Elephas maximus indicus: one gene and its partner. The protein of the gene in region 1 interacts with the protein of each later gene in a pairwise test. Links are inferred from orthologs where the notes say so. Each region holds a gene or a part of one and is shown on either strand. Other genes may lie near its edges.

The links.
Region 2: the proteins of ARL3 (region 1) and ARL2BP interact in binary tests that used the Homo sapiens proteins (3 or more experiments, as listed by UniProt). The link is inferred for Elephas maximus indicus from reciprocal best matches to the Homo sapiens genes ARL3 and ARL2BP.

Annotation. Positions count from the first base shown.
Region 1 is NC_064834.1:54,251,909-54,259,267, reverse strand, and holds the start of ARL3 (ADP-ribosylation factor-like protein 3), read left to right. Parts: upstream 1-4,046; 5' UTR 4,047-4,153; coding exon 4,154-4,156; intron 4,157-7,359. UniProt on the Homo sapiens protein: Small GTP-binding protein which cycles between an inactive GDP-bound and an active GTP-bound form, and the rate of cycling is regulated by guanine nucleotide exchange factors (GEF) and GTPase-activating proteins (GAP).
Region 2 is NC_064839.1:24,185,502-24,193,319, forward strand, and holds the start of ARL2BP (ADP-ribosylation factor-like protein 2-binding protein), read left to right. Parts: upstream 1-4,439; 5' UTR 4,440-4,709; coding exon 4,710-4,747; intron 4,748-5,409; coding exon 5,410-5,471; intron 5,472-7,183; coding exon 7,184-7,290; intron 7,291-7,818. UniProt on the Homo sapiens protein: Together with ARL2, plays a role in the nuclear translocation, retention and transcriptional activity of STAT3. May play a role as an effector of ARL2.

The DNA of each region.
Region 1 (7,359 bases):
ACACCATAAAGGTAGAATTTACAACACACGGGAAAATCACATCAGATGACAAAATGGTGGACAATCACATAATACTAGCAATCATGGCCTAGCCAAACTGACACATATTTTCTGAGGACACAATTCAATCCATGTCCAAAAAACCAAAACCAAACCCGTGGCCATCGAGTTGATTCCAACTCATACCAACCCTATAGGACAGAGTAGAACTTCCCCATACAGTTTCCACAGAGCACCTGGTGGATTCAAACTGCAGACCTTTTAGTTAGCAGCCGTAGCTCTTAACCACTATGCCACCAGGGTTTCCTCAATCCATGACAGTGGGTTCGAACCCCCAACCTTTCCGTTAGCAGCCAAGCCCTTAACAGTTGTGCCCTCAGGGCTCCTTGAACCACAGGTAGTCTCTAACTTTTCTTCCACTGTTACTCTCCCTCCTCCTGCACAACCACAGCTAGTCTCACTAAGAAGGTCACCATCATGTCCAGGACGGCCCCACTTCTAAAGCAATGTGGTTCTCACTACTGGGAACAAGGGGGAGATAGAAATCAAACAGATGATTGGCCAATACCTCCTCTTCCTTCTAGGATCAGAGAATGTCATAGCTCAAAGACATTAGGGACCCTGGACCAACCCCCTCAGTTCACAGAAGGGAAAACTGAAGCGTAGAAATGTTCACATCCATTCAACAGCATGGTTAGTGTTTGTGGCACACGTGCCCTGCACTAAAGACTTGTGGCAGGTATAAAGAGGAACAAATCTAGTCCTCAAAGATCTGATGATAGCTAGGACCCTACTTTCCCAAGGTCATAAGGCTTGGCTTAGGGTCACCTAGACAGTTTCTCTTCCCACTAACCCATTACCAAATTTACTGCCGTTGAGTCAATTCCGACTCATGCCGTTCCTATAGGACAGAGATGAACTGCCCCATAGCATTTCCAAGGCTGTAAATCTTTACAAAAGCAGACTGCCTCATCTTTCTCCCACGGAATGGCTGATGCATTCAAACCGCCAACCTTTTGATTAGCAGCCAAGCGCTTAATCATTGCGCCACGACGACTCCTTCTCTTTCTACTACAGCCTACTTATTTTCTCCTAAGGGGGGAAAAAAAGGAGAAGAGAAAAGGAAAAGGGAAATAACCTACTACTTCAGCTGAAGTAATGCTCATCCTTGCCATGGTGACTTGTTTTTCTCTGGCAAACAGTATCACAGCTCAGAGAAAAGGCTTCCAAACCCCTCTGGGGTATTCGCCTAAGAGGCAGAAAAGTGCAGATAATTTTCTCTACCCAAGAATTCCCTGTTTGGAGTCCCAGGTAAGGTGAAAAACAAAACATTCTTGCTCGCAACCAAAGACTTAAAAAAGTTCACACACAGACCACTGAGATAGGTGAGGGTTGATGTCAAGGCTGGCTAGAACAAGATGGAAAATGAGACTAATAATTAAACAAGTTGGCCCAGGTGTATCCCTACGTACGCTCATGTATGCCCATATTATTCCAAGGCAACTGTGACACTGGACACAGACACAACCCAGAAAGAGAAATTTGCCTTACTTATTTCACAAAAGAGCCACCAAGCTAGAAATAGGTAGATTACACGTGGGTAGAGATGGTTGTTGACATATGCTATCCAGTCAATTCCAACACACAGTGACCCTACAGGACAGAGAAGAACTACCCCCGTAGGGTTTCCTAGGGTATAATTCCTATGGGGGAGGAGATTACCAGGTCTTTTCTCCCTTGGAGCCACTGGTGGTTTCGAACTGTTGACCTTTCAGTTAGCAGCTGAGCTCTGAACCATTGTGCCACCAGGGCTCCTTGTAGAGGCGGTACACACTCTGAGTTAACCATTCATCTTGCACCTCTTTAGTCAAGGTTCTGAACTGTTTTCTCTCCAAGATTCTGAAGCAGGTATGCAAGCAGCCCAAACCCACTGCCGTTGAGTCAGCAGATGTTTAAAAATTGGCTGAATGTACAAATAAAAAAAAAAACTAGTGCCATAAAAAAAAAGGACAATTCAGGGAAAAATTTGCCTTCATTCCAATGATCTTGGATAGGCTCGAAAGCCTGCTGATAGGAACAGGGGCAGAACCTAAAAACCTAGGTGAAACTAAGGCTTCAAACCTGTTCAGTCACAGCCAACGAAGTGAAACGGAAACAGACCCCAATTTTTACAATTTGGATGATCTGGAATGATAACAGAAATGGAAAAAATTACGGCTGGAAGCCCTGGAACGGGAGACTTGGAAGAGGCACGGTGAGCCGCTTTCAAGAGCCCGATGAGTGAGATTAGATTATTGGCAAGACTGTGGAGAGGACACACATTCAAAGCTGCGTGGTAGGCCACCATCTCTGAGCGGAGCACCACTGTTTGCAACTCTGCTCAAAATCCTACCAGGAAACAATTTGTTACTACACAACGTGTATGCTGCCCTTTGTTTTCTAAGAGGGAGATCAGGTTTCTAGTAGCATTTTGATCCATAATTCTTCCCATTCCGGTTGTCATTCTGGCTCAAATTTTTAAAAATTCAGGTCTGTTCCAGTTTCCCTTCCCGGGTCATGACTGAAGCGGGAAGAAATGGTTCAAAGCCCTGGAGGAAACGATAGTAATAGCTAATCCCTATATATATATATATATATATATATATATATATATATATACATATATACATATATATACATATATACATATATATATATAGCTCTTCCTGTGTGTGACATTTTTCTATGTACTTGACATATAATAATTCATATAATCCTCAAAGAACCGTACCCATACCCAGTGCCGTCGAGTCGATTCCAACTCATAGCGACCCTATAGGACAGAGTAGAACTGCCCCACAGAGTTTCCAAGGAGCGCCTGGCCGATTCGACCTTCCGACCCTTTGGTTAGCAGCCATAGCACTTAACAAACAACCGTGAAAAAAACCGTAGGCGGTAGGTAATATGCTCCCATGCATCTGCAAAGTTCCAGGTCCATCCATCAGCGCCCAGGCTTTACCAGTTCTTAAAAAGTCTGGTTTACACTACAGATATAAATCACTCTGTTCCTCCTACTTGGAGCACTCTGTCAAGAGTGGGACAGAACTCGGTTCGAGTCTCATTCTATCGCTTAAAATAACCAACTTCCAGGGTGACTGTGAGAATGAAATGAAATCGTGTATGAAAAGCATGTCACTAGAAAGCAAATTTTGTCCATTGCTGTATCTCCAGCGTCTACAACAGGGCCTGGCATGTGTGTCAACTCTTCTATGGGCCTCTGCATGGGAAAGGGGTGGAAGCACTTCCCCACCCACCCAGAACGCCCTAGCTCTTCTTTAGCTCCAAGTCCAGGCCCATTTGTGCCTTTTCCAGGAGTGCAGATGGTGTACGACCGGTTCGACATAGCAAAACCCAGCCAATCGCAAAACGCCTTTCACCCCTGCTGTCAACTCAGAGCAGAGCAAGTCCCAGATTGGTCTTTGCCCTGAGACAAGCTGCCTCTTCGCCTCTCACCACCCGGATCCCTCATCCCAGACCCTTACAAAGGGTGTGGAGGTGGGCACACAGCTCAAAACGCCCCGGCCCCTTGGCCTAGCCCACGAAGGCCCTGGGGACCTGCGGGGAGAGCCCGAGGCCACTCCTCGCGCCACGTGGCTTCTGCAGGTGGAAGTCTAGCGTCCAGCCCGCGCTGCAGCCCCACCTGGGCAGAGTAAGGACAGAAATCCAAACTCCCTCCCGGGACGTGGGGACTGAAAGTAGACGTGGCAAGCGGCTCTCTCCCCAATGGTCCTTACCTGGTCCCGGGAGGAGTGCCCTGAGACAACTGCTACCAGATGCAGCACGCTTGGGGAGCCCGGTCTGGGCCCCGCCCCTCGCCCCGCCCCCAAGCGGGGCTCGGCGGGCGCCAACCACGTGGGCTGGTTTGCACCATCTCCAGGTCCCTGCAAGCCCGTAGCCGCCTCCAGCCGCTCTAACAGCACGCCTGCGCGATGGGCGGCCCCTGGCGCGCTTGCGCACTTTGGAGAAAGCGGAGCTGGACCCGCCTCTGTACCTCTGCTTCCCTCCTCCGCTGTGCGTGAGAGGGACGTCGGGGGCGGTGCCGCAGCAGTTGCCCCTGGTAACGGGGAGGCAGCCCGAGGAGGAGGAGGAGGAGGAGGAGGGACTCGGCGGGAGGATGGTGAGTGTGGGGGCCTGGGCCCCTCCGGAGCTGGCCGGTCACCCCTCTGTCCCCTGGTCCGGGGCGGGGCACTGCGCTCAGAGCTAAGGAGGGAAAGGGACGGCGCGCAGCCCGCTGTCTGGGTTCTCGATCGGTTTCGCGGGACCGCGGAGAACCCCGAGGATGGGCCCTGGAGAGAGGCCTGGGCCTGGGGAGGGAGGCGGGGCTTGCAACGAGTCCGAGGCTCAGGGAAGGGGCTGACAGGGTCAGTGACTGGCCCCGTATGGAGCCGGGGCTCCATCATTGCTCTGGGGCCAATGATAAAGACGGATCCTAGGAGTGCGGAGAACAGCCTCCGCACGCCGACTTAGCTTTTCCCGGGGAATCCGCGTCCCTGCGCCGCAGGAAAGGGGGGTCTGCCTGAGGCCGAGGACGAAGCGGGGAGAGGGCCGGCGCTGATCTCTTTGAGGTCGCCCTGGCAGTACTAGGGAGATGGTATCCTAGCTCGCCTCTTCCTGGAGAGATGCGGACCCTTGGGGCGTGGAGGTCCCAAGGCACAAAGAAGTGCTACTTGAAAGGGATCCCTGGTGAATCTTAAACCGCCTTGGCGTCTGCGTGGCTGGCGCGCTTCTGCAACCTGGAGTTACTCATTTGATGAGGGTTCTGCAAAGTCTAGTTGGTGACCGATTTCCTCTCCAATACTTAAGCCACATTGGCGTAGGCAAATTAACTGCTCAATCTCTAGTATTTCCTTCGGAACCTGTTGCAGCCTTTGGCATATGACCACACCAGGACCAAAGGCCTTAATCCCAGTTTGGGGTCTCCAAACTAAAAAGAATGGAAAATTAAAACTGGGAGTGGCCATCAGTTTGAGGCAAGCCTTTTCTCTCTTAGCCCTGATTAAAGCTTTCCCAGAGTGTAAATTATGATGTGTGACAGATTTGACACTGTGTCGTCGTGACGTGGGAGAAACATATGGCAATCTCCTTTCGTAAAGATTTACATCCTAGGAAACCCTATGGAACAGCTCTACTCCGTCCTATAGGTAGCTATGAGTCGGAATTGACTCGACGACAATGGGAAATGGGCCTTCTTGATTTCTCTGGTTTCTTGGAGGAGGTTAAAATGGTATGAGTAGTTTTAGAGCTTGTCAGTAGAAAATTTGATTTTGAATTATTTAGAGCAGATTGATTGGCTTACCAATTGCAAACAGCCAGTACTCACTCAAATTTACAATTACTTACTTCCCCACCCCATCCCACCCCCAGTTCCTTTTTGACTTTTTAAAACATTGATCCATTTCTACTGATTTAAGACCTAAGAAGAAGCTAGCTGCCCCTGCGAAGGGGGGGGGGGGGATACATGTATCTCTGTTCAGATTATCCAGTGAGAAAATATGGATTTAGAAAAAATTTCCAATTGATTTTACATTTTCAGATTGTTAAAGAAGTAGAATTATTTGATCTGAAGTTGCCAATCACATTTCACAGTTGCCACGTTGCAGTTTTACTAACCTCAGGCTAAACAGATTTTACAAGTACTTCCTTTTTATTAATCATTTATACATGAGCTGTCCATTAAAAGGCTAAGTTTTTCTCAACAAATGAGTACAAACATAAATATTTACACAGAAGGGAACTGGGATTGAAAGGAAAAAGGCATGCCAAATCAACAGAGAATGAATTTTGTCATCATAGATGAGAAATGCGTAAGAGTTGGCTAACTTCTCCCAGTTTCTCGATTAAGTGACTGTGTAATTTTATGATTGTTTATAATTACAGCCCACAATAAATTAAGCACTGCTCATGTTTGGAGGCTCAAATTGACATTGTATACAACAAATAGACACTGCATACAACAAATTGGCAGTATATACCACAAATTGAAAGTGTATCCAATACTGTCATATACAACCATTGCAGTCAATGATCAAGAGAGATTTTGGTTTTATTTTTACATTTCCTAAATGAACAATAAGAAATTAGGACAAATTATTCTAGATTCTTTATCTGGTTTCCCAAATAAGTTTTTTTTTCCTGTCTCCAAAAGTGTGAGCTATTCTTAGAACTGGAAGTGGAACACTAAATTTAAACGGTCAGTGGTCTGATTAAATATGTCACATCTGGTATCCCCTGAGCCCCCCATGGTTAACTGTACAACTAAAGAATGGGTCCCAGGCTCTGTGTGTGTGCGTGTGTGTTTTAATCTTCAGCTATGACTAATACATTTTTTTAAACCTAAGTTACTGTAACAAAAACCCATAATTGGTTTTCCTGAACATTTAGGATTAGCATGATGAAATACTAAGATGACAGTAATTTTAGCGCATAACTAATCACTGTTTATTTAAAATATGACTCATTCATTCAGTAACTATTTATGGTGTACTTCCACGTATATGGAGCCCAGGTGGCACAGTGGTAAAGAGCTCAGCTGCTAACCAAAAGGTCAGCAGTTTGAATCCACCAGCAGCTCCTTGGAAATCCTATGGGGCAGCTCTACTCTGTCCTACAGGGTCGCTATGAGTCAGAATCAACACAGCAATGGCTTTTTTCCGCATATATGAACCTAGTGGTAGTTATCAAATATGTTCAACATTTGAAGATTGTTCTCAGTAGTATTTGTTTCCTGGTCAGGAAATGGTCACTGAAAAATAAAAAAAATAAAAGCAGCTATTGTTTTAAGTACTTACTATGTGCCATGCATTATATGCATTATCTAATTTAATCATCATAACTTTTTTTCTTGAGATATGAGTGTTGTTCCCATTTTCTACATAAAACCATGCTCAGCGTTACACATTTAGGGAAGCTGAATACAAGTCTTTTCATTAGGACTCTGGTGAAGTGGGAACCCAATCTTCTTGAGAAGATGCCCATCCTCCATTCCTCAGGAACGTTCTTTATATTTATTTAGTATAGAAGTGATGAGAAAGAAGACAAATTGGGGTGAGGGACTCCCGTTCAAAACCATAGGAGTTCCTGGAGCCGAACAAGATCTCCCTGGGTAGCACCAGTTTTTTTTTTAATAGTTTAAAGAGGTCAAAATAAATTGAAGTCATTGCACTTAAGCAAGTTACAGAAAGTGTATGTACTTGACATTGGCCTAGTAATTTTAATATTTAAATTTCAGCTGCTCATGACAGCCACTTGTGTTTTCTTCCCTTCCCCTCCCACCCCCTCTACCCAGTTTCTTTGAATGACCTACTTTGAATCCTTTTAGGT
Region 2 (7,818 bases), on another chromosome or scaffold:
CTAGTTTTTTTTTTTTTAATGGCAGAAAATTGATTGTATTTTCACATTCATGGTGTTTCTATCCAATTTCAGCGCCCACATTTTGTGAGGAAACAATATTTTCCCAATGCAGGAGGGATTCCTACATTAACTGCAATGTTAGACTGGAGAAAATTGGGTATTTTAGGGTATTTTTAAGGCACCATCAAACCAGGTTTTTGTTTTAAATTTTTTTAATCAGTATTGTTTTTGGAAGTAATATACTTTAAAACTCTTGAGCTAAGTCTCCAAAACTCTAGAGGACAGTCTAAGAACACATATTACTATTGTTTTAAATAAATACATGTTTTTTAAAAGTAAATTCAATCATGGATTGTTGACTATGTCTTCATCAAAAGTGTTAATCCCTCTCAGGGTCTCTGATGAAGACCTTCAAGAGTTTGGTTTTTTCTCCCAGAAAATTGGAAGGTAGAATTGTAAATTCATAGACCTTATTTTATAATGGTGTACCTCAGCAGCTGCCTTTCAATTTATGCCAAGTCCTTACTGAGTTTATACTTGAATAGTAAATGTGTCTTCTGAGTTTTACAGTGTCTTAAACTCAGTGCACATTTTTTCTTCCTTTTCCACCCTTTCTTGTTTGTAGTTGCATTAAACCTGTCCTTAAACCTGTCCTATTACAGAGCTGATTTCCTTCCTGGCTGTACTTGTTGGGGTGCTGCATTTTTTTCCATGTCTTTAGTCTTCCATAAATTCAAAAATACATATAAATATATATATATGTATGTTCTCCTCTTTAGCTTGTGGTGAATACAGTAATTTGCATTGAAGAAATAAAACATTTGTTGCCTTTTTTGATTAAGATTTTACAACTTTCATTGGTGCCTGCTGCTAAATTCCAAGATAAACTCTCAGACACACATGGAGTCTCCATGAGTTGGAATCAACAGCAATTGGTTTTTCAGGGTAGCAAAGAATCAAGTATTAGAATGCAAGTTAATCACTATTCATCCAGCAGATCTTTACTAGGAACCTATTAGGTGCAGGACACTGTGCCTATTGAGAAGTACAAAATAGGTGTGTTCATGGAGCTTAAGTCTGGTAGTAGGAGACGACTATGTATTTGTATTTATTATATCAACTTATTAGTGCCCTGAAGGAAAAGAATAGGGTGCTGTAAGAGAATGAGAGGGACCTAATCTAGATAGGGGAGGGTGTCAGAAGTAGCATTAGTAGAAACCTAAAAGATAAATAGGTGATAACCAGGCAGAGGGACTGAGGACAAGCCTTCTAGGACTGGGTAGCTAGGTGAACACATTATAGGCAAAGGCCTTAACTACAGAGGAAAGGAGCTTGGTGGGTTTTGGGATCTGACAGAAGGTCCCTGTAGCTAGTAAGGTAGGAGCCAAGTGGGTAGCGTAGTATGTTCCAGCGTTGGAGAGGTTTCATGAAGGCCATGTTGAGGATTGTGTATTTTATCCTAAGTGCAGTAGAAAGCAAAGGCGTTCAAGCATGGAAGTGCCTTGATCAATAATTGTAAAAGATGGCTCTGATTTCTACGTGAAGAATAGAGTGGGGGGAGAGGGAAGGTGACAAGCAAAAATTGGAAATATAAGACTAGTAGAGAGATTCTGGAGTCATCCAGCTGGGGGTAAAGGTGGTCTATAAATTGAGTGGAAATGGAGAGAAGTCAGTGGAATTAATAATGTCAGCAGTCAGAGCAGTGCAGTAGCCTATCAGCTTTCTAGAAATCTACCCTTAAATTCTGCCCATAAAATGGCCTACTTTTCCAATTCTTAACTTCTAGACCATAAAACAAGAAGACTTCAATATTAAATTGCTTAAAGTCATTCAGAATGGAGACAAAATTGTAATCTTGGCACTATTTCAAAGGGAAAGACATATATTCCACATAGAAGAGAAGAAACTGGGGATTAGCAAGCCATTTGGGAGAGAGTAAACAGATCCATATTCTGCACTGAATGTAAGCATTGTAAGAATTGATAGCTAGACTTCTGATATTGTATCAGGAAAAAAAAAAACATAAAAAATTAAGTTACGGTATTCAGTTGTTCATTGGGAAAAATGCCCCCAGCGTTCCAGCCAGTTTTTTCTTTTTAATGAATTGTCACCGTTTCTGAATGATATAGAGGGAGGTCATGCTGCCATTTGCAGAGTGCCAGGAAACAGTGACTAGCAGAAAATGCCCTGCATGAGTTTCAATCATCTTGAACATATGTCTATGAAATCTTAAGACCAGTTCTTTCCAAGTTTCCCCACATTTTTTTTTTGCTCTTTATTCACTTAAAAATATTAATGCTAACCCACAAAGGATTTAAGAAGAGATTATTTGTGCAAAAACACTTAATATATACAATTTTTTTGTTTTTTCTAGAAATGGGAGAAAGGCCACTGTTCTATTTTAAGTGGAAAAATGTTCTGATTTCCAAGAGTCTGGTTTGGCACCCCAGGGATTAGGAATGATAATAGCATGGTGGCTAAAAGAGACTATTAGGACCGGGGCTGGACCCAGGTTCTAGCCCCACTCTGCGATTTATATCACCAGCGTGCAAGTACCTAACCTCTAAGCCTTGGTTTCCTAATCTGTAAGATGGAGACAGTACCCATCTCATAGGGTTTTTGTTTTTTCTCACAGGGTTTTAAGTATTTCAAAAGGAGACAATGTATTTATAGTCTTTAGCAGGGTATCTGGACATGCCTGAGGAAGTGGGTACCTATTATCTTTATCCCCATTTGTTCCTACAATTAGAATGATATAGTAAAGATGGTCACAAATTCTTAGACATTTCTCCCTACAATCTATGTCCCCTTCCCCTTCAATCTAGGTGGGCTCTGTAATGGCTTGACCACTAGAATGCCATGGAAGTGATCCTGTGCCAAGTTTCCAGTCTGAGGTCTTAAGAGACTGGAAGCTTCCACTTCCTGTCTCTTGAACTACTTGGCTCTTGGACCCCGCTGCCGTATTGTGAGATAACCCAAACATCTCCAGGGAAGACCTCCATAGAAAGGCACTGAGAGACCCCCAGCCCTCCAGCCAATAGCCACAGTAGAGATCCCAGCTGAGAGCCAACACCAATTTGCCAGCCATGTGGAGGAGCTATCTTGGAAGAGGCTCCTCCAGCCCCATTTCAGCTGCCCTAGCTGATGACAAGCTGAACAGAGACCAGCTGTCCCTGCCAAGCCTCGCCCAAATCCAAATTTGCTCAGTAAAATAACTTGTTTCAAGCCACTACAATTTCAGGTGGTTCGTAACAACAATAGGTAACCAGAACAGATGAAATCACAGAGTTTCATTCCTCTGCCGCTCTGACCCCATAAAAGATTGAATTAGTAGGAAAAGTAGGTAAACTCATTTTGTCCAGAAGAAATGTGTGGTATACAGAGAAAGTAGGTCATGAGGAAATTTGCTGAGTTTGCTATGGGCTGTTTGACTAGTGCGTGACTAAACAGAACTCGGTCCAGCTTATTCAGCAGACCTTTGTGGATGCCGGTCTTCTACCTAGGACTAAGCATAGCTCTGAGAATTGATCTCACCCTGGGTATAACTGTGTATGTTTTTAACCCACCTTTAGTTTCAGATCCCTCTGAAACCTATTTTATGCCCACCTGACCCTCAGATCAAACCTAAGCCATACGGTAAATCCCTCTGGACATGTACCACACATTTGGCCAAAAAGTATCATGCAACCAGAAAGACAGTGCTCGGTGGTCCAATCGAGCAAGTCAGCCTTAGGGAATCCTTTTGTAAAATTTAGCACCGCTTTGGAGAGGACCTTCCTTGGAGTAAAGTGTTCTGACTCCTGGTTGAGTTGCTCAAAGTGGCTCTGTCAACTTATCTTGCACAATTAGCCAAGAAACCAGTTACTGCAGGATAATCTTCATGATTAAATTACTAGACATCCAATGCTTGCGGCTAGGCTTTCCTTCCACGAGGGGGAGTAACTGTCTTGCAAATCAGACGTCTGCAGTCTCTGGTTCAAAAGATAAGGAGTTGGCTCTCCAGCGATTTGCATTTACCCATAACCCATTGCCGTCTAGTCGATTCCGACTCATAGCGACCCTATAGTTTATACAGTGTTCTTAAAACGTGCTTCAGTCTTCACAAACACCGTACAAGGTGCAACTTATCCATAAGTTGCAAATGAGAAAATTCAGGCTTATGGTTTCAATTCCTCCATCCATGAAATGAAGGTGATTGTTACACAGCGCATAAACAGCTCAGTAAATCCATTCCATACTGCCCGGAGCTCAGGCTCCCTTCGCGACTTTATCTTCCCTTTTCCTTCCTTCCTTTCCCGTTCCGCTCCGTTTTGTCCCGCCCCTGGCGTTGGGTAGTGCTTGCTGTGATTGGCTGTCAGGAATCCACGAGGCGGGAGCTCCGGGCTGGGAACGAGGCGGGCGGAAGGAGGTGCGGTGGCCATGGTAACGGGAGGCGGGACGCGGCGCCCAGCGGTCAGTAACCGACGCAGGGATCCCGCGGTGGTGGCGGCGCGCGCAAAGCGGCCTGGCCGGGCGTCAAGGCCCGGCCGGCGCGTGGCCGCAGCCCGAGGAGCCTGAGGCCCCGGCGGCGAGGCTTCCTTCGGGCCGGCCGGCGTGCCCTCGATGCCGGTTGGAGCAGTGCGGGGTGGAGCGGAGGCTGGGCCCGGGCGGCGGGCAGGCTAGGAGGCCGACGAGCCGGCTCGCCCGCGGCGGTGGATGTGTCGGCCGTGATGGACGCCTTAGAGGAAGAGAGCTTCGCGCTGTCCATGTGAGTGACGCCTTGGCCTCGGCCCTTTAAAACGGTGCCCTCGGGGGGCGGGCGGACACCGCCCCAGATCCCAGCCTTGATCCTGCGGCTCCTGCGACCGCTGCACCGGAGAGCGGGGCGGTGTCCCCGGTTACCAAGCCCCCATCACAATCCCCCGGCCTCGGGCCCTCCGCCGTCCGCAAAGCCCTGGCGGGCGAGAGCTGCCGAGACCTGGGGCAGAGGATCCTCCACCTTCCGCCCCAGCAGCTCCTGAGCCTGGCCAGTGTCTCCCTCACGCCGGGTCCCTGCTGACGAGCAGATTAAGTGTGGGTGATAGCGAGGATGCAGTGAGTAGATCGTGCAGCAAATAAATGCCATATATCGCTCAAGGCCTTTTTGTCCAATGCGAGCCTTTGCTTCCTAGGCCCCTTTTGTATTTCGTTGTGTCATAATCAGGTTCTGTGCAAGTAGAATCTTAATTCACCTTCATGTCAAGGATGTGTAAAGTGGGTTGTTTGGAACGCTAGATTAGATAAGTCATTTTTAATTGTTGAAGCTGGGTGATGGGAAATTCATTTTACTATTTTTTTTTCTCTTGTGCATGTTTTAAAATGTCCAAAAATCTTTTTTTTGTTGAACGAATTATTCGAAACCACACCTAATCCAGTCATATGAATTTTCAGCTCCTCCGCCTCTGATGCAGAATTCGATGCTGTGGTTGGTTATTTAGAGGACATTATCATGGGTAAGCTGCCTCACCACTGCCTGGCCTGTGCTCTCTCCAGTCCGTTCCTAGACACTTGCTTTTAAGGACACCGAAATCAATTTAGAGAGTTAATTTTAAGTGAAAACATCAAGCTGCATATAATTATTAATGTAGTGCAATGTAATATTTGCAAGTCTTAGTTTTGGGTTTTTTTTTTTTTTTACTTGATTTGCCTTTAAGGCAAACAGCTCAGTACTCCTCAAAACAGATAACATAATTTCATGACCTGGAAGGGACTTACTCAACTAATGGGACACCTAGAAGTTATGGGGCTCTTGGCAAAGCTTCAGGAAATACTGACCTAGGTTATTTCCTATATAAGCAATTTCACTTTTTAGATAGTTTTGCATTTTACCATTTTCATGGCATATAAAACCTAACCAGAAAACCAAACCTAGTGCCTTCGAGTCTGTTCCGACTCATAGCGACCATATATAAGAACAGCATAAAACCATAACCATAAGCCACATGTCTATGAAGAAAACAAGGTATCAGACTCCAGCAGGTTCTGGGTTTTGAGTTTCTATTTGTGGATTTATTTCAGCATCCCTAAGACTTGCTAAGTAATAGACAAGGAGTAACAGGCACCAAAAGTTTAAGACAGATATTGGGGTTGGGGTGGGGCGTGAAAACTTGAGAAAATTCTGACTTTTGACTTTCCAGAGAGTTAGGAAAGGAACACTTATTTGGTGTTATTGACTATACGGCATAGTCCAGTTTAGTCTGAAAATCATGTTTTTCTCCCTTCAGGTCCTGTAGAGAGGTACATGCCCTTAACTCCTAAATCCAGATGTTTCCCCATTGAACATACAGATATTTCCCTATTGAACTCTCATCCCATGTAGATGTGTGGATTTCTGAGAAATACTGAGGAGGAATCCATTCACTTCTTTTGCTCTTTATGCTGAGGGAAAATGAGCCTTCTGTAAGCCCAGGTTATTTATCCCAAAGTCTGGGTCCTTTGTGAAGCTTTCCTTTTATTTTTAGAAATAATATTCTACTTGAAAAAAACAACCAAACCCGTTGCCATCGATTCGATTCCGACTCATAGCGTCCCTATAGGACAGAGTAGAACTGCCCTGTAGAGTTTCCAAGGAGCGCCTGGTGGTTTTGAACTGCCAGCCTCTTGGTTAGCAGGCGTAGCACTTAACCATTTCCAATCAGTTGTTAAAAATCCCTAATGTTTATTAGGTGCTCACTGTGAACTAATCTCTACATAAATTCTCATCTAAAATCCACCTAGCAATCCTTTAACATAGGTACCATCACCATTCTCATTTTCCAGATGAAGAAACTGGGGCTTAGGGAAGTTAACTTGCCTAAGGTCATACAACTTAGCTGAGGGAGAATTGGGACCCAAGCATCCTGGCCTCTGTCAGAGCCCGTACTTTTAATGACTACCGTGTTTGCACCACTGCTTCTGGATTATACTGGAGTCTATAGCTCAAATGAGAGAATCGATTCATTCCATTACAGTAAAGTAATAATGTGAGGGAGTTCCCAAGCCAAGAAATGAAATGGATTCATCTATTTCAATATCCATGTCCCAGTTAACTGCTGCCCCCTTAAACACCATCAGCTTTCCCTTTTAGAGACTGGCCATTGAGGAGCAGTAGTGTACTGCCTACTTATATAGCAGAGTGGTGTTTAGTCTCCATTAAAAAGAATAAATCTTCCCTATTGTGGTTTAGACGATGAGTTCCAGTTACTACAGAGAAATTTCATGGACAAGTACTACCAGGAGTTTGAAGACACGGAAGAGAATAAACTCACCTACACGCCTATTTTTAACGAATATGTAAGCGATTTTCTATTTCTCTTACCAGATTAGGATTTCTTTAAAGTTTAAATTTAGACTCAAAAGATGTTAAAATTTGCCCTTTCAAAATCTGCCACCAGCACATTGCCAGGGATTCTAATTAGAATCGGGTTTAGTTTTCATCTCCTGTTCATTATTCCACACAGCTCTTATGGCTGTTTTCCAAAGGGCTTTCAGGCAAATGTTTGATGATCTTATTTAAAAGAAGACACTTGGCTTACCATAATCCTCCCTTCAGTTGTGTGGGTTCAGCACACCTTGTATTTGTATATTTTTGACCTTTTTCCTTCCCCTCACTATTTTTTTCTACTTTATAATTCAGTCAGGTAAGCATGACTATTAGGCGAAAGTGAAAACTGAGACCAAGGTCCCTACCTACCAAAAACCAAACCCCTGTTGCTGTCTAGTGGATTCCTACTTAAAGGTTCCTACCTAGTTGGTAGCAAAACGGATACCTGGGAACCTCAACTCTTTACCCTTGGGCCTTTCCATACACGCTGGGGCCTC